3 linked regions of the Alligator mississippiensis genome follow. The protein of the gene in region 3 binds, or shares a complex with, the protein of the main gene of each other region. Links are inferred from orthologs where the notes say so. Each region holds a gene or a part of one and is shown on either strand. Other genes may lie near its edges.

The links. The genes of interacting proteins can lie anywhere in the genome.
Region 1: NUP188 (region 3) and NUP85 share a complex: the UniProt entries of both Homo sapiens proteins name them as parts of the nuclear pore complex. The link is inferred for Alligator mississippiensis from reciprocal best matches to the Homo sapiens genes NUP188 and NUP85.
Region 2: NUP188 (region 3) and NUP107 share a complex: the UniProt entries of both Homo sapiens proteins name them as parts of the nuclear pore complex. The link is inferred for Alligator mississippiensis from reciprocal best matches to the Homo sapiens genes NUP188 and NUP107.

The regions. Positions count from the first base shown.
Region 1 is NC_081831.1:12,342,879-12,353,550, forward strand, and holds the start of NUP85 (nuclear pore complex protein Nup85), read left to right. Parts: upstream 1-5,564; 5' UTR 5,565-5,614; coding exon 5,615-5,647; intron 5,648-5,733; coding exon 5,734-5,824; intron 5,825-6,359; coding exon 6,360-6,522; intron 6,523-7,244; coding exon 7,245-7,315; intron 7,316-8,088; coding exon 8,089-8,132; intron 8,133-8,976; coding exon 8,977-9,046; intron 9,047-10,148; coding exon 10,149-10,270; intron 10,271-10,672. Other genes in the region: 52 kDa repressor of the inhibitor of the protein kinase, read right to left, coding at 2,721-5,117. UniProt on the Homo sapiens protein: Essential component of the nuclear pore complex (NPC) that seems to be required for NPC assembly and maintenance. As part of the NPC Nup107-160 subcomplex plays a role in RNA export and in tethering NUP96/Nup98 and NUP153 to the nucleus.
Region 2 is NC_081827.1:69,364,920-69,376,018, reverse strand, and holds the start of NUP107 (nuclear pore complex protein Nup107), read right to left. Parts: upstream 5,109-11,099; 5' UTR 5,095-5,108; coding exon 5,087-5,094; intron 2,314-5,086; coding exon 2,257-2,313; coding exon of another isoform or gene 2,255-2,256; intron 1,691-2,254; coding exon 1,605-1,690; exon of another isoform or gene 1,586-1,604; intron 284-1,585; coding exon 194-283; intron 1-193. UniProt on the Homo sapiens protein: Plays a role in the nuclear pore complex (NPC) assembly and/or maintenance. Required for the assembly of peripheral proteins into the NPC. May anchor NUP62 to the NPC. Involved in nephrogenesis.
Region 3 is NC_081835.1:58,083,494-58,093,907, forward strand, and holds the start of NUP188 (nucleoporin NUP188), read left to right. Parts: upstream 1-5,450; 5' UTR 5,451-5,520; coding exon 5,521-5,546; intron 5,547-9,549; coding exon 9,550-9,604; intron 9,605-9,849; exon of another isoform or gene 9,850-9,934; coding exon of another isoform or gene 9,935-9,967; intron 9,968-10,236; coding exon 10,237-10,310; intron 10,311-10,414. Other genes in the region: DOLK (dolichol kinase), read right to left, coding at 1-1,432. UniProt on the Homo sapiens protein: Component of the nuclear pore complex (NPC), a complex required for the trafficking across the nuclear envelope. Required for proper protein transport into the nucleus.

The sequences.
Region 1 (10,672 bases), on a different chromosome or scaffold from region 3:
GTTAGGGACAGCCTTTAGCAAAAGTCCAGAACAAGACTCACACTCACATCTTGGGAGCCATAGCAAGATACTTAGCTGTTGTACTACTTGACCCCACAGATATTCATGATCCTCTCTGTGGACTGAGACCTTGTAGTGGCAGAGAGGCTTGTGTGTCCCAATGATCCTCAGAGCTATGTTGTCTGCAGTTTTGTACTTCTGGCAGGATCACTCACAGTGAACAAGCCTGAGGGGAGGTTCCAGACAAACTATGGTCCAACCCCAAGTCCTCAATGGTGGATCAGGCAGAAGGTGTTAGGATCTCAACAGCTGTAAAAACAGAAGGCGGCTGCACCAAAACGGAGGTCTCCTGTCATCAGGGTTTCTCCCGACACCGGGTCCAGATCTCTACCTTGTGAAGATTGTGTGGCTGCTGTTTTTGTGCACCAGCTTCCTCAGGTTAAATGAAGTCATACACAGGCTTCTGCCACAGGAAACACTCTCCAATGAGCTGTGGTAGAGATCATCCTCGAATCAAGGGACTGCCACCAATGATGACAATGGAAGAAGAGGTCACAAAATGGTGGAATGAGACGAGCACCACTAAAGGAGACAGGAGGGCTTGAAAGAGACAGCACAGAGTGCATCTCAGTACTGGACTGTAATGTTACCCTCTCAAGTGTTCAAGCCCAGCACTGGACTCCACACAGCAATAGCCCTGTGCAATGAAGATTGTCCTGCCTTTCTAGGAGGGATTTAGCACTGCAGGGGGAGAACAAAATGACTGGATACAATGATATAGCCAGATACAAGTGAGAGAAGGGACAAGAGAAAAAGGCAACATGAAAGAGAGATTTAAAAGGCATCATGGAAAGAAAAAGAGGAGCCCAGATATGAGAGCAGACAAATTCTGGACAGGGAGTAGGTAAATGTGTGGCAAGAGGCATCAGAGTATAAACTGAAGGACAAACCCAAGGAAATTAGGATTCCTCTCCTGCTACAGTCCTGTGAACATGGGATCTGGGTGTTTTTTTCTCCTTAACTGCATTGGGAAGCATTGGGAAGCTAGAAAGAATAAAGAAGGATTATTTAAAAATATACAAATGTTCAGGAGATGAAAGATTTTAGGATCTTTGGGAGTTGGCCTGGGATTGTACCAAAGAGAGGAGGAGTTTTGAGAGCATGGAGAAATTTGGTTGACACAAAGGAGCAGACACTTGATAAGTCCAGAGCTTTATTAAAATTTGTTGCTCGAGGGCATGCTGGAAGTCTGCTTCCATTCTTAGCTTTTGTATCTCCTGATCAGCTAGGATAATTCCCCATTTTTCTCTCAACTTCTCAATTAAAACAGAATTCCTTCCAAGTGAGGAGCGCTGCACTCTCCCCTCCAAAGCCATCTGCAGACATTCTGCGGAATGGCAAGGACAGACTCCAAAGTCCAAGCTCACAGGAGACACTGGGCAGAACAATTTGCCCCAAATTCCAACAGGGAGAGTAAAACAAGCATGAAATGAAAGCAGCAAGGATAGAATCTTGCCTGGAATCAACTGAGCTGAAACACATGTGATTACAAAGAAGGCTAAGGGGTGAGAGCTGAGTTCAGCAGAGCAAAGCCCCCCCCAGATTCCCTAGGAGGCTTAAATTCTATTTGAATCTAGGAATCAAGATTCATCCTTGGGCAACTGGCCAACCATACCAACAAATTGGTGCCAACTGGCCAATCTGTGAAGAAGAGAGCCTAACTCCATCACAGAGACACATGACAGTGTCTAGTCACCCAGAGCACACTGCAGAGGGAGGTCACACTGCACAACAGACCTAAACCTGTGGCACCCAAGTGATAGTAAAGTGGCACAAGCTGGTGCCTTGTCTGTAAGGGGTCAATGGCCTAATTCAGTGAGTTGAAGAGGAGCAAAGGGGTAGAACTCCACAGAAATGCTACTTCCAGGAGAAAAACCAATGTGCAATTTCATAATCATTTCCACATTAAGCCCGAGGTTGGGTTTGCATAAGCAAAAAGAGCGAGGCTAAAGTTGACCTCTCAACTTTTAACTCTGGAAGCCTGATTGTATAACCGTCACTTTGCATTAATATGGTTTTGTGCACAGAGTATAAACTGCATGCAATCTTCCCAACTTCTTACATCAACATTCATAAATACTGACACCTCCTCTTTCCCCAAGTCACAACATTAGTGTAGAAGGAATGAGCTTTAAAAGGTAATCAATGCCCCCTTTCTCATCAACTTTCTGCTTTTTCAGAAAATAGTGCTTTCCTGCTTTTTGCTTTCTTGGTTGGGCAGGTCTTGAGTTCCCTAGACCTTCTGTGCTGGCAGTGTTCCCAGCTGGCCAGAGGAGTTCTGTAGTTCCATAGTTCCACACTGGCCTCCAGTTTCAGCCTATGGAGGTTAATCAGGCATAAACCATGACTGGTTTCCTCTGGCCATAACCAATGGGATGACAGACAAAATTGCCTGGGGCATCTAGGCACAAGAACCAGCATGGGATGCGGTGCATCATCATCACATATAACAATACAATTTTTCTCCAACTACAAAGAAACTAGAAACTTTACTAATATCCTAGGGGCCAAGGGTTATACTATTGAGTTTAAGATTGAAACAAAAACAAATGCAACTTTATTGGAATGTGCAGTCAGTTGCTATATTAAGTATAAAAAGGGCAACAAACTAGGAAAGACTTTTGTCCTGTAATCATTAGGATGCTATGTACATTTCTCATTCAGAGTAATAAAATAAAATCTAGCCTTGAGCGTCTTGACAGTTCATCCAACACTTCACTGACAGTTATTTTAATGTGCGAGTTTATGTACAACATGGCCAGTCCATTAAGACGCTCTTCATCCACTGCTGAACGAAGCCAAGTTTTAATTCTGTGGAGAGTAGAGAAACATCTTTTCGCTGGAGCTGCGGATACAGGAAGCGTGCACAGAATCCTGAGTAAAATATGAATGTTTGGAAACCATCCCTTGTCGCAGTCTGTCAGACTATCAATGGCTGTGCTTGGCACTTCTTTTTCCTCCTTGCCCTGCCACTTGAGTTTCCACAATTGAAATTCCTCCAAAACCATATTCCTGCTATCTGGCAAGTCTTCACCATACATTTCTAAAACACGGCTAAGCTTTTCAGATGGATACCGACATGAAACGAGAGGTATTAGAATGCCAAGATCCGTTACAGTGTTGCTGTGCAATGTAAATCTCCTCGCCAGTTCTTGAATCATGAAGTCCAAAAATGGGATATAAGTGTTAATTCGAAAGTAGTCCTCAACACTGTCACATGAAACATTGCATCTGTTTTGCTGCCGGGCTGCAAGTTGAGGCAATTTTACCTCAATGTCATGTTTAATTGCAAGTGACTGGGCAATATTAAATATTTCTGCAAATTCAGCATTAGAGTTAGATCTCTTACCTTCTAAAACCTCAACTGCCAATTTCACTTGGTCAAAACATTCCACAATGTCAGCATTTACCCTCTGAAGTTCCTTGGACAGTGGAAGAGTGATTCCTAAGAGGAATTCAGCAACTGTCAAATTGATAATAAATTCAAAATCACATACGCTTTTGTAGTAGAAATTTGCTTTATTTCTGACAGCTTTGTCACCATCCGTCTGCATTGCTTCCAGTGCTGCAATAATAGCATCGTAGAGCTCAGCGAACACCATGATACTGTCATGTCGCTCCACCCATCTAGTAACACAGGCACTTTGCAAGCGTTTGTGCCTGCTCTTTGGGCACGTGGCATTTATAGCATCTGACAGGTACTTCATCCGTTTGGCCGACTCCTCAAAATATCCAATAGCTTCATTCAGAATGCCTAAGGTAGTTTCTATTCCACGTATTGTGCAAGATTTTGCTATGGTAAGATTCAAAGCATGAGATGCACAATGGCTGTACGCAGCTTTGGGAAAGTCAGATTTTATGTGAGCCTGTATACTGTTTACGTGGCCAGCCACTTTGGTGGCTCCATCATAACCCTGCCCCCTCAATTTTGTCAAATCTAGACTACATTCCCTCAAGAAATCCAAAAGGGCCTTTGCTAAACCGGCACCAGTCAGGTTATAAACAGGTAAAAAGCCTAGGAAAACTTCACAAACTGTAACTGGATCTTCTTTGACATATCGCACACAGACAGACATTTGTTCCACATTTGAAATGACTGTGGTTTCATCATCTAGGAATACCGCAAAGAAACCCGACTCATTTATTTCATGTACCAGCTTGCTTCTGACGATGATATTGCTTGCTTCTATAATTTCCCTTTGAATGGTTTCACTACTGTATATTGCATTTTGGGGCTCATTTAGTAAGTGTTCGTGTAAGGTTATGTCACCAGCTTGACAATGGAGACGCAGAAGTGATTGGAAAATGCTTTCAGATTTACTCTCACCGTTCTTACCCAATTCACCGTTATCCTTCCCTCCAAGTGGCAGACCGTTTTTACCTGCAAACACCACAGTCTCAATGATAGGCGCAAGTTTCTTTCGGTTTTCTTCTACCTGGGCACATCTTTCTTCATCCAGCGTGTGTATGAGAATTTTATAGGTTTTTTCATAACATTCGCTGAATATTTGTGCTTCCAAACAGGCTGCTCCGTGAAACTTTTTTGTAGTGTGATTTTTTAATTTTGTCGTAACTTTTTGCCAATTCTTGCATGGCTGAGAAACCAGCGTAGACAGTTTCTGGCCTCCTACCTGTATTGGGGCAAACAGCACACAAACACGACAAAAGACGCCCGCGCATTTCTCGCTATAAGATACGAACGGATAATTTATCAGCCACGAGTAATTAAATTTTCGCGACGTGTTCTCCGAGTCTTTATACACCGGGAACTCATAGCTCGGATGAGGGGTCCACGGCTGGGTAAGCAGTTTATACTTAATTTCATCGCTTATCGAATGCCTACAGTCTACGTAGTTCCCAATGTCGTAGTCGTGGGGAGTTTCGGGATCGGGCAGGGCTTCCTTTTGATCCAGCGCCAACGGCTGAGCTTGATGCGCCGCAGCAGACTCGGGATCCAGCGGTTCCCACGCGTCGGGCTCGCTTTTCACCGTCGCGACGCACCGCTTCGTACAGAACGGATTCGCGGCCGTCTCGTCTTCTTTCCATCTCTTCTCCATGTCGGCCCGGACCACGAGGCGCCCCACGCAGAGCGGGGACCTGGAACAGCACAGGAGGGAAAGACAGCGGCACCCGTTGGCCCAGCAGGGCGATGTTTCGGAGGCCTCGCTGTGCAGCCCGACAACCGGCACAGCACCGCGCCCCCGAGCCGGCGGGGCGGGGCGGGGAGAACGGAACGGAGCCGCCCGCACCCCAGAGCCCGAGCCCGGCCCTCGGCTCTCCAGCAGGGCCAGTGGGGTTCTTCCTTCAGCCCGTCGCGCGGGGCTGCCCTCGGCGCGCCTGCCCCCCCCAAAAAACCCAAAACAAACCTAATTGTTAAGGCCCAGCAAACCCATCCTCCTCGCCACAGCGCTTTCTACTCTCGGAGGTTAATGAAGGCGGTGGCTTCGCAACGTGGGGCGGAGTCGAAGGCGACAGGCAGCGCGGAGGGCAGCCGGGAGGGGGCCTTCCTCTGCGAGGGCGCGCGGCGGCCGGGCTGGAGCGCGGCGGCGGCACCATGGAGGAGCTGGATGTGGAGCCGGCGCTCACTGTATGGAGGCGGCGGGGCGGGTGGGGCGGAGGGCACCGGCCTGGCCTGGCCTGGCCTGACCTGACCGCCCCGTTCTTCCCTGACAGGTGGTGCCGGGGGTGGCGCCGGGCCGCGGGCTGCACTTCCAGTGGGGGCCCGGAGAAATGCTGGTGTGCGAGGCCGCCTTCCCCGGCGCAGGTGGGTTAGCACCCCCCCCCCCTCCGTCTTATTCAGCAACATAAGGGTTACCATCCTCCCCCCCTATTTTATGCTGAACATAAATAAAGAAAGAAATAAGGGTTAAGGTTTTGTTTTAACAGGAGCTGAGATTTTCAGGGCGTCTCTGACTCCCCGAGTTGAGGCCGTTAAGGAAGGAAACTGCACCTTCACGTGGCAGAAGCAGCAGCACAAACGGGGCAGGAGCAGGGGGAGAGTTCAGCGCCAGCAGCGCTGATCAGCCGTAGGCGTTCAGGTGTAGGAACGCAGGGACTCGGACACTGATCACAGGGGAACCGACTTGGAGTTGTCTCCAGCAGAATATTTATCGCATCCAGTCGGTCTGCACCTCTCGCGCTGTTTTTGTTACTGGCTCATTTCTTAATCCTCATGTGTCGCTTAAAAACAGTTAAACCCTGGGTTTTAACTTGTGAAGCCTAGAAGCGTGCTTCTGCCCTGCAGAGTGGTAACGCTCGTGTTGTTTTATGAACTGATGGCTTTCCATGATTTGTTTCAGGACACGGGGAGAAAGGGCCTGGCTGCCCCTATATTTATGTCCTTCGCAAGGATCAGGACATATACTTACATACCTTACGTAAACTTTTCAATGAATCCCATGGCATCTTTGTGGGGCTCCAGAGGAGTGAGGAAGAACTGTCTGGGAAATCAAGGAAGGCACAGTGAGTGGATGGAAATGCTTGATAAGTTTGACATAAAAAGGACAATTCAGCTTTCTTGCCGCCCCCCCCCAAGAATATCCTCTTATTGAGGCAAAATTCAGGTAGCATGTTTGCACGTCCCCTTTCGTTGTTAAAGTGTCTCCGAGTCACTGAAGTGATCAGACATAAATACCTACTTGCCTCTTGTTGACTGAACGTAGTAATGAATGTATTTTGGTTTTGTTATTCCTCTTTATTATTGCCTAGTCTCCTTTACTGCTGATGAATGTTGCCGCCTCCCTGGCCAAGGGGGTAGGAGATCAATCCCCTTAGGACTGGTGCACATGGCTGTCTTGTTAGGAAGGGAGGTGGTACATTAATAATTATGCTGTACAAAAAAGGCCTAACGTATTGCTCCTGTTTGTACATCAAACACAAGTCCGTTTGCAGTGAAGCCAATAACAAAACTTCTGAGTTTCAAGTTCTCAGAGCTGCTGCTGATCAGTAATTTTACGTAACTAATCTTTTCAATATATATTTTATAAAGTTAGGTTCTGCGCCTGCAGATTATTTTGTGCAGACAGAACCTATATGGACTCCCCTTGCTTCATTTAGATTCTCCAGTGCAGGAGGTGAATTTCTGGCTGAGCAGAGAAAATTTGAAGGGTCTTGATCCTAATGTCCAGTAGCCATATGGCCAATAATACATCTCTCTCTAAACAAGGCCTCTTTATTCTTGCTAGGTTGGTTGGAGTAAGTAAAAACTACCGGTCAGTCATCAGAGCCTGCATGGAGGACATGCATCAGGTGGCTAGTAAGTTGTTTTTCTCCATTAACAACAAACAGACTAGGTTTGAGTCCATACATTGAATCTTATTGCAACTCTTTATTATAAATGACCGTAAAATAAGCTGTTCTGATTGTCAGTGGGGGTTCTGCTCTTCTCCCTAAATTCCATGCTGATTTTTGAACAGAGGCTGAGACATCGTTGCATTACTTTTTAATTGAACTTGCAAGATTACTCTTGTGGTTACGTCTTTTTAATCTTATCCACTCTATTTCTCTACTCTTCAATTCCTTTCTTAAATTTTTCAGTTCCTTGGCAAACCTGATCATTTTCTATTTTTTTACCTTGCTTCTGGTTTTGCTGATTTTTCTTCACACAAGATACTTTGCAACCTAGCACCCCAACTCTAACCTAGCTGCGTCAAGGGTCATTCTTGCTGTCCCTTTTAGAATGCTGGACTTCTGAATCACCTGTCATTTCATGAATGAAAAAGGTGGTTTCTTTATTATGATCTGTTCTGAACCCTTAGGGTTAGAAACAGGTTTTCCCGCAGAGCAGACAACAATATAGCACCATTATAATAGTGGAATGCCCCTACTCTCTGTGACTGATTGCAGCAGTATGATGATACTTGTTGCCAGTCATGTTTTTTTCTTGCACATAGCATCACTCATGGTCATTTATTTTTCTGTGCTACTCTGCTTCATGAGCCTTTAAGCACTGTGTGACATGTCTAAAATACAGTTTAAAAGGTCTGGACAAATGTTTGGACTACTTCTATTTATTTTTTTCTTCCTCAGTTTCAACTCGGGATCCTGCCCTGCACAACCAGTATAGCACTCAGGTAAACAGTCCTTATATTTTTGAAACCTGGTCACAACTGAAAGTAAACTCTTGCCAGAAAATATACGAAGGCTAGCATACTGTGGCAGTGATATGTTCTGAATCTGGGTTGTTTTAGTCATTTGGCTCTGTGTACCCGCAGCTGTACATGGCCAGATACACAAGCTGTAGGAGCCATTTATTTATATGTATTTATACAGTTATGAAAAGTTGCCCCTTTGAATTGTGGCTCCCCCACTATTACCTCAGTATATGTCCAGTTTTGCAGGTGAGAGGCAATCTTACCATTTTATAAAATCTGTGAGCCAATATCTCACTTCACCCTTCAAATACCACATCCAAAATAAGCAGATGCGTCTCCTAGCAATCCCTGAAAATTAGACCGTGAACTTGCAGCAATAATAGACCAATCTTCCAGGAAGAGCAAAAAGTATTAGATGTAGATGCATCTTATCACTGGTATTTCTCTTCTAAAATTCAGATCTGAGTTGCTTTACAGAACCAGAGTAAATCACTTTTTGGTTAAGGCTTTTCTGTACAAGGCCTTTGAGCATTAATGTTAGAAAGAATTCCTGTACCATTCAGTGTTTAGCACAAATGAAGGATTTTTTTCTATTACAGTTTACAAACAACTTTTAAAACTTAACCCAATTACATAAAGAAAATGTGGTGACCCATTGTCTCCTTGTAATTCACATCTTCTCTAAATGTCAGTAACCATTTCTTTTACCCACAAGAAGGAAACTTAAGCAATAAGGAGGGAGGATGTTATTCAAATGTCTTTGCTTTTGCTAGGAAGCATGGGAGTGATTAATACATTGGTAACTGTTCCTGTTTTTCCTCAGGTCTCTATTCTCTCTGCAATGGAACTGATTTGGAATCTCTGTGAGATTCTCTTTGTTGAAGTGGCACCAGGTGAGAATAGACCTATACTGATGTTAATATTGAGAGGGGCTTTTTTGTTCATGTACCTATTTGTTTTAGAAAAGCATGTAGAAATTATTACATCTTACCATCTCTTCAGCAATCATACTATTAATGCCAGGAAGTAACAACAAACCTGTCCCTTCTTCTGGCCAGAGATAAGAATTACTTTCTGTATCTTGCATCGAATTCTAAATTAATAGATCATTTGCCTTTTTCCTTCCAGTTCCTGCTTTCTGTGCCCTGTGTATTTTAACCTAGAAATGGAACTGTTTCTAGTTACCTGACCTTAATTAATTACAGTGCCATCAAACAGACTTTGTTTTCACCTGACAATCAAAAATTAAGGAAAAATCTCAAATACAAATGCTATTTAAATTCTTAACCAGCAACTCTATATACTTCCTAAGTATCAGTTACCCATTAGGGGCCAAATGATCTGATGCAACTCCTGTGACTTCAGTGTGTTTTCATTCACTTCAGCTCAATTTCAGCAGAGAATTTGACCCTAGGATTCCAATCCAAATGGCTTGTAGAAGCATATTTCTTTGCATAAACTGACTTCCCTTTTTCATTCACATACTGAGATTTTTCAAAGTGTTGACACTAGTTGCTGGAGAACATATTCATTACTTGGTACAAGCTTTTTTCTTCATTTCAGGCTAAGAGAAATCAGATTGGGAATAAAATAAACACATTCATAAGTTTGTGCATCATGTAGACAGTGTAAGGTTTATCTATGTTCATCCTTCTGTGTCTTCAAGCACTTGTCTTTTGCAAATGACACCACTATAGTTACTCAGTAACTTTGCCAGGGTGAAAGAGAAAGTTAGTAGACAAAGGGTTCTTTTTCAATCTGTAAAATTCTGAGTTTAATTTGGAGTCTGCTGTATTTCCATCATCTGGATATTTGTGTATTTTCTGCTAGGGCTTGAGACTGGTAGATGATAATATGGATGAGCAAGAGAAATAGGCAGACTTGTCCCCATCTCTTGCTCTTAGGAAACGCAGGGTGCACCTACTAACATTAGAAGCTGGAAACAGCAGGCAGCAGAGCAAGAATCTAATGGAGAGATGTTTTCTCTGACTGCAGCTGGTCACCTCCTGCTTCACCTCCTTGACTGGGTTCAACTTCACGTGTGTGACGTGGACAGTATGGTCCGTGAAGTTCTGAACAGCGAAAATCCATCCAAACATGAGCTCTTCTGGAATGTAGTGAGTATACACGTCTGCTGAAGGAGTTTCTATGTGCTTTGTGTCCTCTTCCACAGGCATTGTATGCTAGGTTACATCTGAAAAAGTGACCTTTAGCTTAGTTGCTAGTGTCTACCCAGAGGCTCTTGAACGAATCAAGTGTGAAGACCGCATTGCATCTCATCCCTAGAGGGTGATCCTTCCATTTCAGATCAAGGTAGATGTTAGGCCCAGCACAGTGTAGGGGAGACTGCATTGTGTTGTCCTGTATGTGAGCATTTGAGTTAACAGATTCTGAAGTTTAAAAACGTTGGTTTCCCCTTAACTTTCTTAAACAGCGCACACTAACTCAACTGAAATTCCCCTTCAGCCTGATTCTGTATATGGCCAGTTTCTCTGTACTGTTCCCAGTTGGTGCTCACA
Region 2 (11,099 bases), on a different chromosome or scaffold from region 3:
AAAAGGTGAACCAGTTTCTCTCTCAAATTATTCTCTATTAATTTTCTGGATTTTGAGAGCAGGCTTGAACAGAAAGAGAGTATCAGCTCCAGCAAACTTTATATATAAAGAAGTAAAACAATGCGTGTAGAATCACAAACTGCAAGTAAACCATAGATGGAATTACACATCAAAGGAGAAAAAGGATTCTTACAGGGGTGATGAAATAATGATACCGGAGTTTGGGGAACCAATTGGTTCTTTGGTGTTACACTACCAGGACTGTCATCCAAGGATGCAAGACCTGTTGAACAAGTTAAGAAAAAAAGTCTCCTAAACTTTGTTTCATATTTACTAATAACAGAACTACTACTGAAATACTTTATCAGATAAGCAAATTATCTCTTCTACTACCATTTAAAAAAAAATTGCAAAGCACTTCAGGTATGTACATCCAACCCAGGAGTGGGCATATTCCAGCCCACGGGCTGCATTGGGTCTGCAACGGACCCCATTTCCTAGCAGCCCCTGCCTGTGTTGCTGTAGCTGGATTTCCATGGAGACTCCAGGAGTGGCAGGGCCATAGGTTTCCATGCAGTACTGGCAGGGTGTGCAGCTGGGCAGGGAGCTGCTCTGGGACCAGGATCTTGTGGTGGAGACAGCATGGTCTGGAGCTGGAACAGAGCTGCCATCTACTGCTCACAGTACCCTGCCTGCTTATACTGCACATTTCCCAAGCAATATCAGCAACAGGAAACCGACATGAATCCTGTCAATTTTACTTCTGGCCTGATGATTTGGAAATGGAACAACAAAAAGGGCCACCACCTTATTAAGCTAATTTTGCAGTAGTTCCAGAAAGTAATAGAAAGAACAGATGCACTAGAATTTTTTACCATCAAAATCAGATAATTACTATTGCATTCATTAAATTTATACAAAATGGTTCTAACAATAAAATAGCTATAGTGAAAATGAAATATTAACATTTCCATTTCCATAGTCAATTATATTCATTTGCTAAATCAAAACCCCCAAGTTTTCTAATAATGTTGAAAAATTTTGAAGGGAAACTGAACTAGAATCTAAAAATAACAACACAAAAGACAGAATTAAAACATTCCAGGTGTTACTCCGAATTCTCACTACCAATTTTTTCTATCTCTTTCAGCTTGACAAACATGCATGAAATAGGAATAACTGGCTATATGTTGGATACAGTAAAATTGACAAAATACAAATGCTGTTGAAAGCCTAAGTACAACAGAGGGATTGTTTTTACTATGTAATCTTTCACCAGTAAACACACACTACTTTTGAACAGTAGATTTAAAGGTCTTAGAAGTGGTATTTCAAAGTTAGTGAGTGATATTTCAAAGTTAGTGATGTTCCTTTATATTATGAACGTACAGGACAAGAAAATGCAAGTTTCATACTAGTGTTATTTCAAATGTGCATAATTTCAAGGAATACAATACAGTACTCTATAGCAGTTGAAATTAACTAGATCTCATGGGAGCCATAATTGCTATAAGCCAAAACCAAGAAAAAATAACTATTCCATGGTGCAGTCAAAATATTAGAGGTTTCACAAACACGCAAAAACCTTGACAGAGAAAGGATACTAGAAACTCTTTTTTGAGAACTCTGTTTTCGAGCAGGCCTAGTCATCTCCGCATCTTGTGGGGATGCCACATTTCCAAAATCAGTCCTACAAAACAGAAATGTAGTAAACAAACAAATACAAATAAACAGATTTAAGCAGGACAAACTATGGGAGAAGAATTCTATTTTCTTTTGCTAATTAGATTGTACGATCAATAACTACTTTCAAATACTTTAGAAAAGTAAATAAGTGTAGCCAGTATTTTATGAAATTAAAAAGAAACTACTTTCTCAAAATAACCCCCTCTCCTCACCCCCCCCCCCCGCCCCAAACTCTTGTGGTTGTTTCTATCCAGCAATGTCCTTTAACTTAAAAGAAGAGGGAAATGCTTGAGAAGAAACAAGTTCTCCACAGTGCTGAAAAGATTACGCTACAAATATTAAGTAACTAACTTCACACTCATGGGAAATATTCTAACAGATGCACAGTAGTCCCTCCCACAGCTAGTCCAATTTTAACTAACATCTTTGACAAACTTGAACATTTATGCTGAAGTTCTAATACTAGCTGATTTTACATGAGAACAGAATGTTTTTGAAAAAGTTTAAACAAGTCACATAATGGGTTTATGAGACATGATATTTAAAATAAAGAATGAAGTGAACTCACACCTTTGATTCTTTCCCCAAATATTTTGATTTATCTTTGGCCCATGAAGTTGACCTGTGCTAAGGAGAAGGGAAGATTTAGCTTTCCCATAAAGCAAAATGCTTGTGAAATGCAAACTGCATATAGACCACCAAATACATAATATTTGTAAAGTTCCTAGACTCTGTGGGAAGCTTCAGAATCCAAGAAGTTAACTTATATGCACAGACAAAACTGGAACTTCACTTAGATGAGTAAGTTCAAAGGCCTGAAGAGACCAGCCTCCACACTGAGACACTCCTATACAGCACAGACCTAAGGAACTCCCACAGCAATTCCTGATCCGAGTGCTCAGCTTGTTTGAACTATAGCAGGGCTGTCAAAGTTGATTGGCTCATTTCCCCCACACCACCCCGAGCTGGATCTGGACTGCAGGGCTCCTGGATCCAGATCTCCAGCAGCAGGGCAAAGCAGTGGTGGCATTAAACAGGCAGTTTATGCAGAGGCTCAGACATTTCAGGGAATCAAAGCTTAATACAGCTGTTGCTCACCCTGCCAAAACACATTCCCAGTGGGACTTCATACTCTTAAACTCAGAGGAAGGCCTCACCCCTGCTCACCCCCAAGTTCCCAACCCCTTCAGGAGCCCCATATGCCAGATGACACAGCTCTGCAAGCCAGATCCACCCTACAATGACACCCCTGAACTACCACATTCCTTTAGAAAGATACCTCACCTTGATTTAGAGACATCACATGACAGACTACCCCATATCTGCAGATAAGTTGTTCCATCGGTTCTACCCTCATTGCACCTCATTTCTAGTTAAAGCTATGTGAGCTCCCAACTTCTGATCCCCGTGCCTCCTTGTAGCTTTTTCTACAAGGTACGTGTACACTCAAAACCTCTTCCCCAGATAGCCCTAACCTCATTGCCTTCTCTGATATAAACCAAATAAACTGAACTCTGATAACACATTTTTTTTCAACCCTTGTTAAAACCCCTGGCAGTTTTTCATAGATGTTAGAGGCTGGAAGAGACCTTAGAAGATCATTGAGTTCAGCTCCCCTGCACTTGGGCAGGAAATACTGCCGGGGTCAGATGACCCCAGCAAGGTGCATGTCAAATCGTTTTTTTAAGCTCTCCAGGGTAGGTGACTGTACCACCTCTGGGGGGAGTCTGTTCCAGACCCTCAACACTTGAATGGTGAAGAAGTTTCTCCTTATGTCCAATCTCAAACGATCTTCAATCTGTTGTTGTGGCTGTCGTTTCTTGCCTTCCCCTTGAGGATCCCTTGGTGAACAGATGCTCCCCCAGGCCCTGCTGTGCACCCCTGATATACTTAGAGGCTGCCACCAAGGCTCCTCTAAGTCTTCTTTTCTCCAGGCTGAACAGTCCTATGTCATTTTGCCTTTCCTTGTATGACCTGCTCTCCAGACCTCTAATCATGCATGTAGCCCTCCTTTGGACAACCTCGAGCTTCTCCCCATCCTTCTTGAAGTGTGGCGCCCAGAACTGAACACAGTACTCCAGCTATGGTATCACCAAGGCCTAGTAGAGTGGGAGGAGAACAGGCTTAGTCCTGCTTGAGATACATTGGTAGATGCATACTCGTGTTTGATTTGCTCTGTCAGCTACAGCATCACATTTGTGGCTCACGTTCATTCTGTGATCTGTTACAACCTCCAGATCTCTTTCAGCTGCGGTGCTGGCAAGTATAGCACTGTCAAGCCTATAAGTGTGCTGTGGATTATTCCTCAATGGAATAACGATGGAGCACTTTACATTTCTCAGTGTTAAAGATCATCAGGTTTTGATCCACCTACCTTGCAAGCCTGTTCAGGCCTGTCCTATATCCCCAGCCCCAGCACAGTCCTCCAGTGTGACTGTGCTCCCCCATTATCTGGTGTCATCCACGAGCTTCGCCAGTCTGCTTTTCATATGCAAATCCAAATCACTGATAAACGTGTTGAAAAGCACTAGTCCCAGCACTGAATCCTGAGGGATGCCACTGGTCACCTTCCCCTGTGTTGACTCAGTGCTGTCCATTAATAGACTCTGGATGCATCTTGCACTCAGAGCCAGTCACCTAGCCTGGCAAGTGCACTACCTAGCCTCAGAGCCAGTTTCAACCCTTTAAACATAGTCACTCTCATAGCTTTTTTCTGAACCTAACCCAGAGGACGCCGCAGTCCTGCTCCCATTGCATTCAGGAATACCACACTGCTACGCCTGCTTACATCCTCCTGCAGAGCTCTCACTCCCCCTTTCCTCAACTGTGCACTTGCCTCAAGGCTAAGTCTCCCAGAGATGCTGCTTTCAGGGTACACCCCTCCTTCAACACATTTCCTTCCCTCCCACATGTACCTCCTAGCGCTAAGGGGCACTGAAACGCACGGTGTCAACTAACGCAGACTAGCAAGAGGGTGCGTGTGTGAACAAGAAGGGTGCTTCCCCACCAGCACAAGAAGATACAACGCGCGCTGGCAGAGCGCCCTGCTGTTTGGTCGGGAAACCGGCGGTGGCAGCGGCTCTCGCCCAGGCCGGGAACGAGCTGCCAACACCGCGGCCCCGCTGTCAGTCCGCTGAGGGAGGGCGGCCCTGCGGCGGGGGCACCATACGAGGGCCGGCACAGCCCCTCCACGAGCTCCTGGAGCCGGCGCAAGAGACCAAGCGGAAGCCTCCGACACGAGCCCTGAGGAGAGACCGCGCCAGCGCAGCCACCTGCGGCAGCCCAGGCCAGGGGGGGAGCTACTGCACAGCCCGCGCCTCCCTCCGCCCTGAGCGCATCGGGCATGGGAGCCCCTGGCCACCTCCGTCCGGCGCTGGCTAGAGAGAGGAGAGGCACTCACCAGTCCATGCCGGCAGCCCCGGCCGTGGCCACTACTTGAGCCTTCCCGCGTTCCGGAAGCACCCGCCCGCCACCGGAAGCTGACCCTGCACCGGCGCCGCGCGCAGAAGGCGCATGCGCCTCCTGCCTGCGCGCTGCTGCCTGCGATGGACGAGGCGGAACTGTGGGTGCGCGCATGTGCACATTAGCCTGCGGTGGCTCGGGTGGGCTGCGTCCCTCAGCTCTGGGGCAAGGGGCGCCTTTCCTGTGCGGCCTGCTGGGGGTCGGGGGCTGTCAGTGAAGCTTAATGCTCCTCTCAAGAGTGTCTTACGCCAGGCATTAGGCCTGAGCAGCAAACAGCGCTGGGGCACGCCCGCCTCTAGGAGTAGGTGGGGCCGGGGGGCTGCCCCCTGCGTCACTCCTGCCTGCAGAGTTCAGTGCATCTTGCACTCAGAGCTCCTCTGGCAGCATAGCCTGCTTGTTGCAGGCACAGGTTTGCACTGATTTTTTTTCTCCCATTAATATATTTCGTGTTCCGGATCAAGTCAGCCAAATCATACTAATTGGTCAGAGCTCAAATCGTTCTGAAAACCTCATTGATTGAGCAGGCAGAACTCAATCTCTTCAAAACACCATGCATGATGCTACAACCGGCGGGCATCCTCCGTCGCGGGCTCTCACTCTAGGAATTCAGATAGTCCCAAATCTACTGGCAGGCATCCTAGTGCAAGCCTAAAGCCAGAGGGCTTCAGATTTAGGTACACGATCCACAGAAGCTCGCACTCCGATGGGGCTGGTGGCTAACATTATTGCAGCAGAACAAGGCGAGTAGAGAGGGGTGAAGATGCTACGTCAGCCCTTTAGGGACAGGATCCTAGAGAAAGCAGGAGGGATGGGGACTTCCAGGGTTAGCTAGTCCGGCCCTATCCAAACCATCCGACAAAACCGTAAGTTAACTCCACTACCCTTTTTATTCCTTCACTACCCTTGCACAAGCACAAACCTAACATCCTACGCTAAAGCAGGCAACATCCTAGTTCTGTAAAATATTGTCAACATTTACAAGGGTTGAAAAAAAAAAAAAAGGGTTCAAGAGATCTGGGGTAGAGGGCAATACCCCAACTCTGCAAAGGAAGGCAAACCCCCCACCCTCCCCCTCTGCCCCCATTGGTTGAGACCTTCCCCTCCCTACCTTTTTGCTTTTTTTTTTTTTTTTAATTTATTTACTTCAGCCATAAGCACCTGAACCATGCTTGGTTGTCCTTAAGCACAGTAAATAAGAAATAGTGGGTTTTTTACATTATTTAGTTACACCTACCCGATAATAGTTTATCATTGCTGGTGGACAATGCCAGGAGTTAGTTCCAAGTAATTTAAATCAGACCAATTTTTAATAGATAAGGATCACCCACAATTATGCCAGTACATTTCAAGACGAGATGCACAAAAGGGGTTTTGAGCCATCTGGGGCACCTATCATCGAGTCTTACACCATATGAAAATAAAACTTTAACACAGGCAGGCAAAGTCAAACCCATGGGCCAGATCCAGCCAGCAGTGGACTCCGTTTCCCAGTAGCCCCTGCTCTGTGGCTGGAGCCACTTTCCATGCAGAACCCAGCAGCAGTTGCCCCATGACAGTAGGGGGCAGGGTTTCCATAGAGACCCCTGGGAGGGGTGGCTGTGGGGAATTGAGGGGTTGCTCTAGCTGCTTCAAGCCCCACCCCCGGCACCTCCCCTGCTGGCAGGGCAGAGAGCTGCGTTGGAGCTGAGCTGGGATCTTTCAGCCGTGACAGCGTGATCCAGAGCCAGGGCAGAGCCGTGACCTGCACACCCCAGTCCGGGGCATGCATGCTGCAGATCACAGCTCTCTGCCCTGGCTCAGGATCACGTCACCGCTGAAAGATCCCAGCCCAGCTCCAGAGCAGCATTGCACCCTGCTATTTGCCCTGCCAGTGCTGGTCTCGATGGGAGGCCAGGGTTTCCATGATCACAGCAAATCGGCTGCTGGGGTGTCCATGGAGACTGGCCCCAGCCGTACAGGCAGGGGCTGCTAGGAAATGGAGTCCAGCTGCTAGCCGGATCACCCATTTTGTCTATCTCTGCTTTAACAAGTCACGAGTTGCTAAGAAAAATACCTGCTCTCCCAAAGAAAAAGCCATTAAAATGATTATTAAAAACCAACAGTAAGAAATCCATCATACAAGAACACAGGAAAACTAGCAGAAGCAAAACATTTACTTGAACTCTCTCCAGTACAAGCAAGCAATAAGCACATTGTGTTGCTTCCCTTACTCTTGGCAGTAGGTAGGGTGCAGGATCTTACCATCCTCCCCTTCCAAATTATATACACCATCAAAAGCTTGTAATGTCAGATTCTAAACTAATATATTGTCTTATACTAGTGAAGGAAAGTGCATGTGACAACTTTATTTTAAAATTGAATCTACTCTTTCATTTACACAGTATAGAATGTAGGAACCCAGCTATCTGGATTTTGGCTCACAAGCCTACTACTCTTAGGTGTTATAGAGATGAGTGGGGCAGCCTTCCTAGTTTTTTATAAATTAGAGAAGTAACATGCTGTGCTAGAGACTAAAAAATTCTATTTTCTTAAACTGTAGAACAATCATTTGGTAGCAGGGGGAGGGACAAGAGAAGGAAGCTTCATTGTGCCCAGTATAAACATAGGAATTTAATATATGGGTAACTAGGAGTTTCAGGGATTGAAGTGCATACTCCTCTTTCACCTGAAACATTACTGTTTTTTTGTAGAGAAGAATAGAAGCTTTTATTCTTGAATATGTATACCCAGCATGACTGAAGCAACTGATCAACTTCCTGCTAGGTCTTAAGGAAGTATGTATGATGTGGTTAAAATGTGAAAAGTTCAGTTACACTGAACAAAGGAGGAAATAACTACAACTGCAAATTCATTTTAAAATCAGACACAGATCTTTTAATAGACAGGCAGAGATGCTGCATTTGAAAAAACAGTTCATTTCCCAATAATTTTAGTTCAGCTATGGTCCTTTCAAAAAGTGGTGGCAGTGAAAGTAGAAAACACTGAAGCTGCAAGTCTGCACTCTGCAGAGCTTCCTCTTCAAATATGTTACAGGAGCATGGAATTAAATGCTAGTCAGTTCGTTTAGTCTATGATTCTGTCCCTTTACCATACTGTTTCAGCAGAAAAACTTATACAGCCCTGATACAAACTAGCCCCAAAGGAAGTGGAAAGCCGGTCCTCATCTTATCCAGGTTTTAGATTACCAAATAAATTTAAGAATTTAATGAAACTAAGGCTACATGAACGGATTCCATAGCCGTTTAAATATTTGTATGAAGACAACCACTTTCAAAACAAAATGAAGATTTCCTACAGGGTTTAAAACCCACAGTGTAACACAAATTTGAAATCAGAGTACAAATGGACTCAGCTGTGCCATTTCATTTTTCTACCCAACCTGGAAGAGAGAAAAAAAGTGAGAAACCATGGAACCTTAAAATCATAAGTATGTTATTTAAAAAAAATAGAACAGGTTTTTGTTTTTTTTAAAAAACAAAAAACAAAATCCAACTTGACCACAGCACACACACTAAAAAGAGAAAAGCAAATTAGGTAATTGAGGAAGACCAACTGCAGGTATAAGAACTGAATTTGATTAAGAGTTCTGTTTCTCTAATCTTGTTAGATATGCTTTCAGGTATAAACTTCAAAGAACTACAACTGTGTAAGTTGCTTTTGCTCCAGTTTTCCTGTTCCTATTCTCTAAACAAGCTGGACACAAAAGGTCTAGAGACTGTTGTCATTCATGTATGAAATTCTTTGGAAAAAAAGTTTGGATGGAAGTTCAAGGATTTTTATGCATCTTCATGCTTAGCTGCATCTGCATTACAATTGAAGGAAAAATGTTACACACACACACACACACACACACACACACACACTGTATGCAGACTATCCAATTTTTCTTTTTCAAAGAGGAATAGTGTATTGTTGCTCAAACAGACAGATTTCAACTAAAAAAACAACCCACAGAAACTCTCATTCAAACTGAATAACCACTGGGGGTTTAGAGGGTGGGGATTGGAGAGAGGCTTGGCCTCAATTACAAGAGAAGAAAAGCTTCCAAGTCTAAAGAAATGTGCAGTAAGGTTTGCAAAGCACCAGAAATCTAAGATTTTTATCTATACTACTTAAGTCTTCCCCAAATTTAAGTTATTTATCATCTCTAACTCTCACGTGCCTTGCAACAGCAATTTACAGATGTAATCCATGAGCAAGACAGAAACCTACTGATCTATCCAGAACTCTCTCAAGCTTTTTCCCACCTCCTTTTAAAGGCAAAAGTATCAATCTATCTTTTAAAAACAAATAAGCATGCAACTCTGCAGTACTTTTCTGCAAGTTTGGGTACTGTTTTACTTGAGATTACTTGTGTACAGTGATGAGGTCTTTCAGTTACAGATTTAAAGCCATTTTACAAATTAAGTTTCAAAACACCCTTACAAGATGTAAAACGTAAATATTCAGAGTTGGGACCCAGCAACTCCCCCAAGGTAAAGGCAGAGTTTGGGAGGAAGCTGACATACAGATTCTACTCTTAAAGAGGAATGACTTTATACATTTGGGCAATGAATAATATCTACCCTGGCTCTCCAGGGACCTAGCAGAACTCCTGAGGCTAAAAAGAAAGGCCTACAAAGGATAGAGGATGGGAGTAACCTCCAAGGAGGATTATTCTGACTGGTCCGGTCCTGTAGGGAGCAGACCAGGAAAGCCAAGGCTGCAACTGAACTCCAGCTAGCTTTGAGCATCACGGACACTAAAAAGTCCTTTTTCAGATATGTGGGGAGCCAGAGGAAAAGCAGGGGCAACATTGGACCCCTGCTGAACCAGATGGGGCAACTGACGCCCAGGAAAAAGCCAACCTATTAAATAGGTACTTTGCATCAGTCTTTCATCAGCCCCATGGGATGCCCATGCCCGCTACAGGGCCGGGAAGTCTGGGTGAGGGTGATCCCCTGCCCTCCATTGATGCTGACTTGTGAAGGAACATCTTGAGAAGCTGGATACCTTCAAGTCAGCCGGCCCTGACAATCTTCACCCCAGGGTACTCAAGGAGCTGGCGAGCATCATAGCCCAGCCTCTAGCGCAGATCTTTGAAAACTCTTGGCGCTCTGGTGTAGTGCCCGAAGACTGGAAGAAGGCCAACGTGGTGCCTATCTTCAAGAAAGGGAGGAAAGTGGATCCAGCTAACTATAGGCCCATCAGCCTGACTTCTATCCCGGGGAAGATCTTAGAAAAGTTTATTAAAGAGGCCATCCTTAATGGACTGGCCGACGCCAACATCTTAAGGGATAGCCAGCACGGGTTTGTTGCGGGTTGGTTAAACAAGACCTCTCTCATTTCCTTCTATGACCAGGTGACCTATCACCTGGACAAGGGAGAAGAGATTGATGTCATATATCTTGACTTCAAAAAAGCCTTTGATCTGGTGTCCCATGATCGCCTCTTGGTGAAACTGGCCAATTGTCGCCTTGGGTCCTCCACGATCCACTGGCTGGAAAATTGGCTCCGGGGTCGGACCCAGAGGGTAGTAATTGATGGAAGTCACTCATCATGGTGTCCTGTGACCAGTGGGGTCCCCCAAGGTTCTGTCCTTGGACCCATACTGTTCAACATCTTCATTAATGATGTGGACACTGGAGTCAGAAGCGGACTGGCCAAGTTCGCCGATGACACCAAACTTTGGGGCAAAGCATCCACACCAGAAGACAGGCGGGTGATCCAGGCTGACCTGGACAGGCTCAGCAAGTGGGCGGATGAGAATCTGATGGTGTTCAACGCCGATAAATGCAAGGTTCTCCACCTTGGGGAAAAAAAACCCGCAGCATCCTTATAGGCTCGGCAGTGCTATGTTGGCTAGCACTATGGAAGAAAGAGACTTGGGGGTCATCATTGACCACAAGATGAACATGAGCCTGCAATACGATGTGGTGGCTAGTAAAGCGACCAAAATGCTGGCTTGCATT
Region 3 (10,414 bases):
AGATGAGAATAAGAGCCACAGCAATGATCTGAGCAAAAATGGCAGTCATTGTCCCTTCAAATGTCTTCTTTGTTCCAGGCCATTTGATTTCTCCCATTGTACTGCCAAAAACTGAGGCTATGGTATCTCCCACCCCTACTGCCAGGACCCCTGAATAGGGAACCAATGCACCTGTCCCAGACAAGAAACCTTTGTGAGCACAAGGTCTAGGGAACAACCACACGGGAAGGGACATCCCAAGAAGAAGGTAAATATGAGTTAAGATCAGAGGTCCACTATCACGTTCATCCAAAAAGAGAGAGAGCAAGTGCCTGAGCATTTGGCCAAATGGCTTGATCCTGAAGTACCGCACGTACTCTAAAAAGATAAACACTGCCAAGCATAACACTGCAGCAACATAGAGAAGCTGAGGGTCATAAATTAGCCCAGGGACATAAGTAGCCACCACTATGAAATGAAAGCATTTTCTGATTACGGTTGGAGCTTGGTGCTTTTTAGATTCAGATGATCTCTTGGCATTCTGGTAGAGAACCACAGTGCACGCAGAGGCAGCCAACAAGGTCCAGTACCCGAGAAGGTAAACTCTTGTCTGCGTCTGAAACAGAAACTGGAGCAACCAAAACAAAGGATTCCTTCGGATGAGCCGGTAAAGCCAAGGCATGATGACCCCCAGGCCAAGCACTGCTGTCATCATGTGGAAAAACATGGAAGAGGTCCAAGTTCCTGAATCCATGAAGAGGAAAAGAACAGTAAAGAAAATCCCCAGAAGGACCACACCAACCACTAACACCAGAAGGAAGAAGTCTATAGGATCTCCTCTGCCCTCTATCACATTTAGTGAGCGCTTAATGAGCTGGTTGAGGATAAAACTTATGCCCCCAAGGACCAGTAATGCTTCCCCAGGAGAGAAGCAGCGGGGCAATAGGTACAACAGGATCATACTGAGGTAGACAAAAATAAGCAGCACTTCCAGAACCTCTACCACTTCAGAAACAGTCAAAGAATGTTTCATGGTGTAGATGATTAAGCTTCCAGCAACACCAGAAAGTATGCAAGTATTAGTTGGCACAGGTTTTGTGATGCCAACTGCTATTACAGATAAGAAGAGGGCTATCACCATGCCAGTGGAGGCCACAACTATGCCAAAACGTTCAAAATACACAATGCCAGACATCTTGCATCTCTCTTTCATCACAATCCCCAACAGTGGAATGACCATGCTAGCTGGTAGAAGGCCGCTATTAGCCGTTGTCCGGAACTGGAAAACTGCTCCACCCAACTGGAGGAGACGGTCCCATTTAAACTGGACATAAAAAGCCTGAATGGCAAGAGCAATAGCGCACCAGGAATACCGATCCCACACCACCATGTGCACACACAGCACAATGGTGAAAACAACCAGAGATTCTACAAGCACTGGCTTGAGTAACATGGTTCCAATCAGCTGTGTCCCGTGATGTTAAAATCGTTATAATTGTCTGATCCCAATGTTTTCAATACGGTCTTTGGTCCGTTCGTAGAAGTTCACTTTCATCCTACTGCAATTCCTATAAACATAAACAAAACAACAACATTAGAGACTATAAGAACACTCAGAGCTTCTACAAAAACAACCCATTTTCTTAAGCTCAGCTGCATGCTTCAACTCCTGTACAAGAAAAATAAAACCAAGAAGGAAATAAACTGGCATTTTCCATGGCATCTAAGAATCAGAAAAGTCCAAGTCAGCTTCCATTTCTAGTGCCAAATCTCACAGCACTTTTATTCACATGCAAATACTAAAAACTCTAGTTGGTATGTCACATTTTTCTTTCCGCTACTGAGAGTAGGGAGGTGAGCACTGCATTCTGCAAGGAGTGTGCACAAATACAAGCAGCAATGCTCAAAAGAATTACACTGGTAAATGCATTTAGCTACTTCAGTAACTTATAACTTAAATACAAAAAAAATCCCCCTTAAGTCACAAGTTTGTTGTAAATGTAAATGACATTATATAACCTAAAACACATGCACGTGTGTGCGCGCACACACACACACATTGTGAACTATGCAAATTAAACAATTATGGATATAATTATTGGTAAGATTTTGGTATTAATAGAGATGAATAATGCTATTCCAATCATCAGCAATATTTGGTTGTTTAAAATATACCAACAAAAACAGAGCACATACTAACTGGTATGTAAAATGAACACAAATCATAAATAAAATAAACCAGAATAGGTAAATCAGATATTGATATTCAGCCTGCAAAGTCAATTTAAAAAATGTAAATGTTCTATGGGCCCTACCTTTGTTCCCAATTCCTTCCTTCCAATTTTTTGTGAATTTACAGTTGTATTTCCCTGTTTTTAAAAATATTTTTCTCTCTCCTCTTATTTTGTGAAAGGCAAGAAACAAACAGCAATGGGTATTGACAAAGCAAACACTGTAAACACACCAAAGATAAACTTCCTCACTGATAAATTTCTAATTATGGTAAGCCTAATTTTAGTAAATAAAAGTCTAACCTATGTATGAATTAAATTTATAGTGTCTCTTTGTAAGGAAACAGTTTTCCTGCCTTTTAATACAAGTGTCTTCTCTCCCTTAAGTAATAATCATGCTTTAGAAATATTAACTAATAACTTGAAAATTTGATCCATGCTGACATTTTGACTGAATAAGAGTCAACACAAATCTGTTAGCAACAGATTCAACACAAATTAAGAACATCTAAAATCTGGATGGAAAACTATAATCTGTGATGCAACAAAATAAATATCCCAGAGTATTCTGTGAACTCCCAGTCATCTTAATATGCATTTTAAGCTTATCCCTACCATGTAGTTGGTCCAATAAGATATCAAACAGAGAAGTCCTTGCCAGTCTGTCTTCTACAGCTTACCTTAACTTGACAATTTCATTGGTAAGGAGGTAAAATCTTTCACATCCTCTCCAGAATTTATTATTTCCTCTTACATATTACATACTTTATCAGTGGTACCTCACTCTATTTAAGCTAAGGAAAAAATATCTTGTAATAACATTCTTAAAGGTTACTCAAATAATTGATGTTTAGGGTCTAGATAGTTTTCTCATTGGCTGGAAACTTTGTACTGCAAATGTAATAATTTTAGTTCTAATTTTCATTAGGGTTCTTTTGATATCTATACCCATAGGATTTGAAATACAAAATTATTTTAAGCGATCAATTCATATTTGCTGCTGCTATAAAGCTAGGCCAAGATGCATGTATTTCCCCCTGTTCAACAACTCATTCATCAGTTTTGAAGTCATACAGGAAAAAAGTTTTATATAGTCAAAAAAGGTTAAAAAAAAACCCGTGCCAATTTTACCCCCCTCTGCCCAATACTAGCTTTGAGCAGGCCATTTCTAGATTTGTATAAGGAGTGAGGACCTCTCCAAGAGGGGCAAAGTGTACCTCACATACTAGCTAGGGAGGAGATATACAACAGAGGAATATGGCTGATTGTAAGTTCCAGCTCAGCTCCAATGCAACAGTGACACTTAGCAGCCTCACTTCAAGAAGTCTGTTCAAAAAGCCCCACAGGGATACACTTGGATGTCAAATGCTGATTTATAAGCATCTTCAAGTGCAACCCAGACACAGTGTAATTTGGAAACCTAGGGTGGGGGGGAAGAAATACGGCCCACAGAGGGGCTTTGCCCAGCCCACAGCAGGTCCCTCAATCCTGCCTGGCCCAGGTGCCATCTGGCCTGTGGCATGTCCTGCCATGCCCAGGCACGCAGCAGGGCTGGGGCAGTTCTGTGGCTGGGCTCCATTTCTAGGCAGCCCAGGTGGCAGCAGATGCCCTCAGCCCCATGGAGTCTGGTGGGGACCTGCACACACAACCCCAGCCAGCCCTGCACCCACTGCAGACTCACCCAAGCTGGAGTGGACCAACTCCAGACCAGCTGGGACCTACATGCACAGCCCTGACCCCAGCCTGCTTCGGACTGCCTGCCCATGTTAAGCAGCGATGCCAGCGTTGGTGGCTGTGCAGAAGCTACCACTGGGTGCAGGGGAAAAGTGCCCATCTTTTTTCGCTGGCCACCTGGAGCCTGCACCTGGGCTATCCTGCGGCTCCTCTCCAATGCCCTGCTGGGCTGCTCAGAGGCAATACTGGTGGCAGTGGTGACAGTAGCAGAGAGAAGCCACAGGGCATGGACTCCAAGCGGTCGCAGCAAGAAAGGCCTGGCAGTGGCAAAGGGAGGTGGGGTGACATATGACTGCTTTTCCCCTGCACCCAGCAGCAGCTTCTGCATGGCTGCCACTGCTGCTCATTGTGGCTGGGCAGTCCAGATCAGGTGTGGGGCAGGTGGTGGTTGGGGGTTTGCATACACTTCCCACCTGGTCTGGAGCTGGTCCGCTCTAGCTGGGGTGAATCCGGAGCGGGTATGGGGCAAGCTGGGGCCAGGGCTGTAAACTCAGCTGCTGCTGGGTGCCGGTGGCAGGGAGGAGCTGAAGGGCGTGTGGGCTCCGGGCTGTTGGGTTGTTTTTTTTGGGGGGGGGGGTAGGGAGAGGGAAGGGTGCAGCTGCAGCTCTCCAAAGCTACCTATGTGGCCCGCGGGCCCAAAGAATTGCCCACTCCAATCTAGGGCATACTATAACTATATAACAAAAGACTTTATCATTCACTGATTTCGTTGCCTTGTTTTAGGAACAAGGGAATTGCAAAGGTTTCACCAAACACGACCTCTCCAAGCTCCATCATCTCACAATACTTCCACTTCCTCACATACAGAAGATGCCACACTATTCCTGCCCTCCTATCTTTCCAGGGTCACCGCTCACTTTCTGAGCTGCTGCAAAATCGCCCTCTCGTTGGCAGGGTCTCCTCGAGCTCATCTCCCAGTGGCCTCACCTCTGTGCTCACTCCATCTCTCACGGGCCGCCGTTATTTCTCATTGAATCTCACCGCTGGTCTAGGCGTCTCTTTTGCAGCTCCTGACATCTCGAGCAGCCGTGCTTTGTCTCCGCACCTCGGCTCTCCAGCTCCTCTCCCGTCTCCACTGAAACAAAAGGCAGGATTTCTTCCTTATCTCCGCTGCTTAGTGTTTGTCTGAGCTCCTTCTACCTCCTTCCATTAACTCCCCCAGTGAGTTTTTGGGGGACAGCGGTGGCCCTGGCAGCCACTTCGGAGGCGACCCAGGGGGCAGGTGACGGGGGCAAGGACGCCCGAAGGAGCAGCCTCCGGGACTAAGCAGGGCCGCGGGGCGCCTCTTCGCTGCGACAACCAGCAATGCCACGGCCAGCAAAGAGCCCTGACGGAGGAGGGACTGGGGAGGGGAAAGGCGAACACCCGCCCCCCGCCCGCGAGCCGCTTCGTCTCCATGGCGCCGCCTCCCCGCAGCACCAGACTCGAGGCCACTCACCTCACAGGCCGGCGCCATCTTGCCGGCTGCGTCCGTCACGTGATGAACCCCCGCGACAGGCTGGGCGCGAGGCCCCGTCACGTGACGCAGGTGCCGGCCCGAGCGGCGGGTAACGGGTCACGTGAGAGGGGCGCGAAGATGGCGGCCGGCGGGCTGTGCGCGAGGTAGGAGCGCGCGCGGCGGTGGCGGGAGTCTCTCCCACCGGCAACGGCTCCTCCCGGGGGGTCGGGCTGGGTTCAAGGGACCCCCTCTAGCTGTCTGTTCCCGTCCAAACCCTCCTTGTTCTCCTGGAGCAGAGACCCCCCCCACCCCTCGGGTAAATCACCTCTGGGCGCTAGGTGTCCCCCCAAGCAGGGGGCTCCGACGAGGTAGGGGGTGGCGCTGTGCCCCGCTGCCAGGCGTCTCCCACGCACCCACTCACTTTCTCCACCGCCCGGCTGGGGCTGGCCCCGTGGCTGCATCGCACCGGGCTGCGGTGCCGCCTGCGCCCGCAGGCCGGGCGGGGGGGAAATGCCCTGCCCTGCCCTGCCCTGCCCTGCCCTGCTCCGCTCCGCGTGCATCTGCATGAGGTGGCTCAATTCACCTGCCCTGCCCTGCCCTGCCCTGCCCTGCTCCGCTCCGCGTGCACCTGCATGAGGTGGCTCAATTCACCCCTTCGCTGCAGTCCGGGAAACGCAGGGTCTGGCGGTCTTCGACATAATCCACTTCTGAAGCTCGTTCCCTCGAGGAGCTCCTGAAAAAACAAGGGCGTCGTGGGAGCCAGGGGGAAAGCAGGCCCTGTGGGCTCCTAGGTCTTGTATAACTCCCTTGGATCCTGGTGCGGACCCCGGAGCATAATAAATGGGTCCTTATCAAAGCGGTTCTTGTTCCTAGTGAGGGTGCGGAGGGGACTTCCTGGGCTCCCAGGAGCTGTTTCCATCAGCCTACATCAGATCCATTTCCACGTGGGGTTTGGATCCCTGGGGGTCCACAGACTGTGTAAAGCAGGGGCGGGCAATTATTTCCGGTGGAGGGCTGCTTACTGAGTCTTGGAAAGCCATCGAGGGCCATATGACAGGCAGCCTGGGGCAGATAAATATTAATTTTCTAAATTTTGGGGGGCTCTGCAGGCTGGATAAATGGCCTGGTGGGCTGCATCTGGCCCGCGGGCTGCATTTTGCCCACCCCTGATGTAAGGGATCCGTGAAAGATGATTATGATCGATCAAAAGCAGGCAAATACACGCACTTAAAAGTCCAAGCGGTCCGCACCTCCCTTTGACATTTTATATGGGCCCGCAAATGAAAAAAGGTTGAAAACTGCCGCACTGAGGTTCATTGTGCATCTCCAGCAGTAAAAGGAGTGGTTAATCATTTTGGGGTGGGTAAACAGCAGCAATTTATCAAACCATTCAGACTTCAGCTCTGTTTGTAAGGACTTCTATTTGGCTTGGGGCTGAGGAGAGTTGGGCTGCACAGCTGCTTGGGGTGTGAGAGTGGAATATAATAGAGCCTAGCCCAGAGGGTCTTGATTGAGGTGTGAATGGGAGCAACCTAATGGTACTACAGTAGTCACAAAACTTGATGTAAACTGGTTACAAGAGAAAGCAGGGCAGGATGACTACAAGAACAAACTCTTTCATCCCTGAATGAAAGAGTGGACATATGTTTTGCAGGGTTATTTGACCTGAGCAAGCTTTCCTGCCCAGAGCAGGGAAGCTGGACCCAATGATCTCATCATGAGGTCCCTTACAACCCTAAACTTCGGTGAATCTGTGAATGATGCAAATGGGTACCCAGGCTGTAAACTTGCCTCTGTTCGCAGCCTTGCATTTGAAATGCTTGAAAAAGTAATTTATTTTATTTTATTTATTTTTAGCAGTGAGAGGAGGCACAGGGACCAGCAGTGAATTAGATATATTAGTGTTTTTGTCCATTTAGAATCTTAAGTGGAGAATATGTGCTAACAAAAATAGAGCAACTTTTTAAACAGTTTTGCTGCCAAATGGAAATCTCAGTTTACACACCACCAGAACGGGACCAAATAGTCCATTGTTCTGTAGAACACTGAGAACACGTTATAGAGAACTTTTCTGGTTCTGTTGCAAAAAAATTACATTCTGTGCACTGCACATTAAAGTCTGTTCTTAGAGCTTTAATCTCCAGAAGTGAGCCATAAACCTTGAAGACAGAGATCAGATTTTCAAGTCAAATGTGTAGTCTCATGATGAAATTGATATTTGAGGAGCTGATATACACTTTAAGCCTTTGGATATCTTTACTGTTCTTTTGATCTTGCTTGTAACATGTCAAAACTCTTTGACTTTAAGCAACTATTTTTTCAATATATTAATTAATTACATGGATAATCATGCCCAAGGCACCACCTGGGATAGGAGCACTATTGTGCATTATAAATGCTTCATAAGAGAAATTTCCTTTCCCAATAGCATCTTTCCCAAGAAGCATCTTTAAGTGAATTGGAAGGAGTTGAAGCCCCATTTTAATCCTGGAAAAGTTCTGAATGAAATGAAAATGGGGTGGAATTGATTCAGCCATATTGCTGTTATGCATTACAGAGGGAGTATCTCCTTGGGAGAATTCTGTAGTCTTGGTGCTCTGCACGGGACAGAGGGGTGACACACATTTTATCGCTAATTGGAATAGGACAGGTTCTTCTGCTTTTATAGAATGAAGTATATCTAACTAGAAAGGAATCGGCAGCTAGAAACTACACCAATGAGTGCATTAGAAACCGTAACACTGGAAATCAATTATGTAGCATTGCTGTATTAAAAGACACTTAGGGATTTGAACTTTATAGTGATATTTTTTGTAGATTGCATTCTCAAAGTAAATAGTTTGCTTTTAGTTAGTGTTGCTTTTCTTTGCATTTCTTGGTTCTTCTGATTACTTGTGAAGGAATTATGTTCAGGTATTTTGCTACTGCTCTACTATTTGAGAGGAAGTAGTAATTTTCAACCAGAGGAGAAAAAGATGTTTCTAGTCTGCCTCATTCTGGAGTAACTCCAGGGTAATTTAGTCAAAATAAGACACTTCCATCCTAAGTGTATCTTGATTGGCAGCAAGTCAGGCTGTGTGTATTTTAGCCATAACGTAGCTAACACAATGCTGTTGGTGGTTTTTGGTGTTTTCTTCAAGGTATAGACATCTTCAGAGTTACCATTTTCAATGTCTAACTTATTCTAGATATTGTGAGAGTATTGCCAATTAAGTTTTCTTGGATAAAAACTGTCATATGAAAAACATGTCACAAGTTCTGTTTGTTCCTTTCTAGACGGCCAGCTTTTGCATGGTGATTTTGTACTGATTTTTATTTAAAACTTTATTTGGGTTATGCTTCCATCAGATCATTAGTTCCCCAAACTCCTAAAGGGGCTTCATTTTGGAAGATGCTGTTAATACAGCAATTTTAAATAGCTAGATTTTATTCATATCAATCTAGAGTGGCTCTTCTTTCTTTCTGAGAAGTCCATAGTAGGATAAGGATTTGATCTCAAATACCTTCTGGCACAAACAAGCTTTTCTCATGAGGGCTTGGGAAATGGATAGAAACAAGTCTTACCTAAACTATGGTGGAGAGTCAGGACAGTTCTTTGCCTTCAGGAAAACAAGGGCATGTTCTTACCTTGTGCTCAGTTTGTGTTCCATCCAAGGATGGAGGTATTCAGGTCATAACAACAAAGAAAGCTTAGTGAAAGGTCTCTGTATTTAGCTTGGTTTCCTTAAAGTTTGGTTTGCTTAAAGCCATTGGTTAGGTTTGTGCGTGGTCCCTTACCACTTAGTCTGCTCTAAGTTAAAACCAACTTTAGAAAGTTATAGACTGACACTGTTTCAGGATGTTGGTTGTAGCCGTGTTGGTCTAAGGACATAGGCAGACAAGGTTCTTTGGGTAAATGTGATATCTTTTATTAGACCAACTAAATAGGTGGAAAAATAGTTTTTTGCAAGTTTTCAGGCACAAACACCCTTCTTCAGGCATAGTCACTCTCCCTATGCCTAAAGATGGGTGTTTGTGCCCAAAAGCTTGCAAAGAACAATTTTTCCAACTATTTAGTTGGTCTAACAAAATATATCATATTTACCCAAAGAACCTTGCCTAGACTCGCATTAGCTGTTTAACAGTGTTTGATAGCAAAATAACACACTTTTTTTACTTTATTGACAGGAGTAGCAGAGAACTGTGGACCATTCTGCTGGGCAGATCAGCTTTGAGGGAGACGGTAAGTAGAGGCCATGCCAAGCAACTTTGCTTGTTAGGAACTTACTACAAGGTACAGTATGCTAGTTTTGTGTAAATGTTTAAATCCTAGTGAATTGTGTTTTGCTGCTCTGCCTCCTCCCTATCCCAAAAATATTCTTACAGTGAGATTGTTGTTCCTGTCTTTCCACTCCTTGTTTATTCTCTCTTGTTAGCTGCTGCACCAACCTCTACCTGAGAGGGTGTATGGGAAAAGGTGGTTCCCTTTCTGGAGCGGACACAAGTGCTGCTTTCCAGACTGGCTGGCCTGGGGTATTCAGGAGTGCAACAGCCGGCTTCCTTACCCTCTGGGATGGAGTCCATGCTTTCAGGAATGTGCCCAGAGGTTGGAAATCGAAGTCCATTTCTGATCCTAGACTGTTGTCTCCTCTTTCCCTTTCCCTTCCCACAGTTAGGCAAAGCAGCAAGCTGTTCTTTCTCATATAACATACACCTTGAATCAAAGTCTGAATCATAGATACTCTTTATACTGATCCTGTGTCCTTTCTGTCTCTCTGTGGTGGTGGAATTACTTTGCTTAGTTTAAATTAAATAAATCTGATACTGGATGGTATATAGAGAGTTGTCTGACGGTATTGTTTTTTTTCTCTCTAGGCTCAGATTGCAGCAGAGTTGAACAAACATTGGCAGAGGCTACTAGAGGGGCTCTCATACTACAAGTCTCCCAGGTACAGTAATTGGCTGATACTAGCCTCTGGATAGCAAGTACCTAGATGTTCTAGAGATATTGGTCTGCAGAAAAGCCTGTTAATTTTTTCCCCCTTGGTGCAGC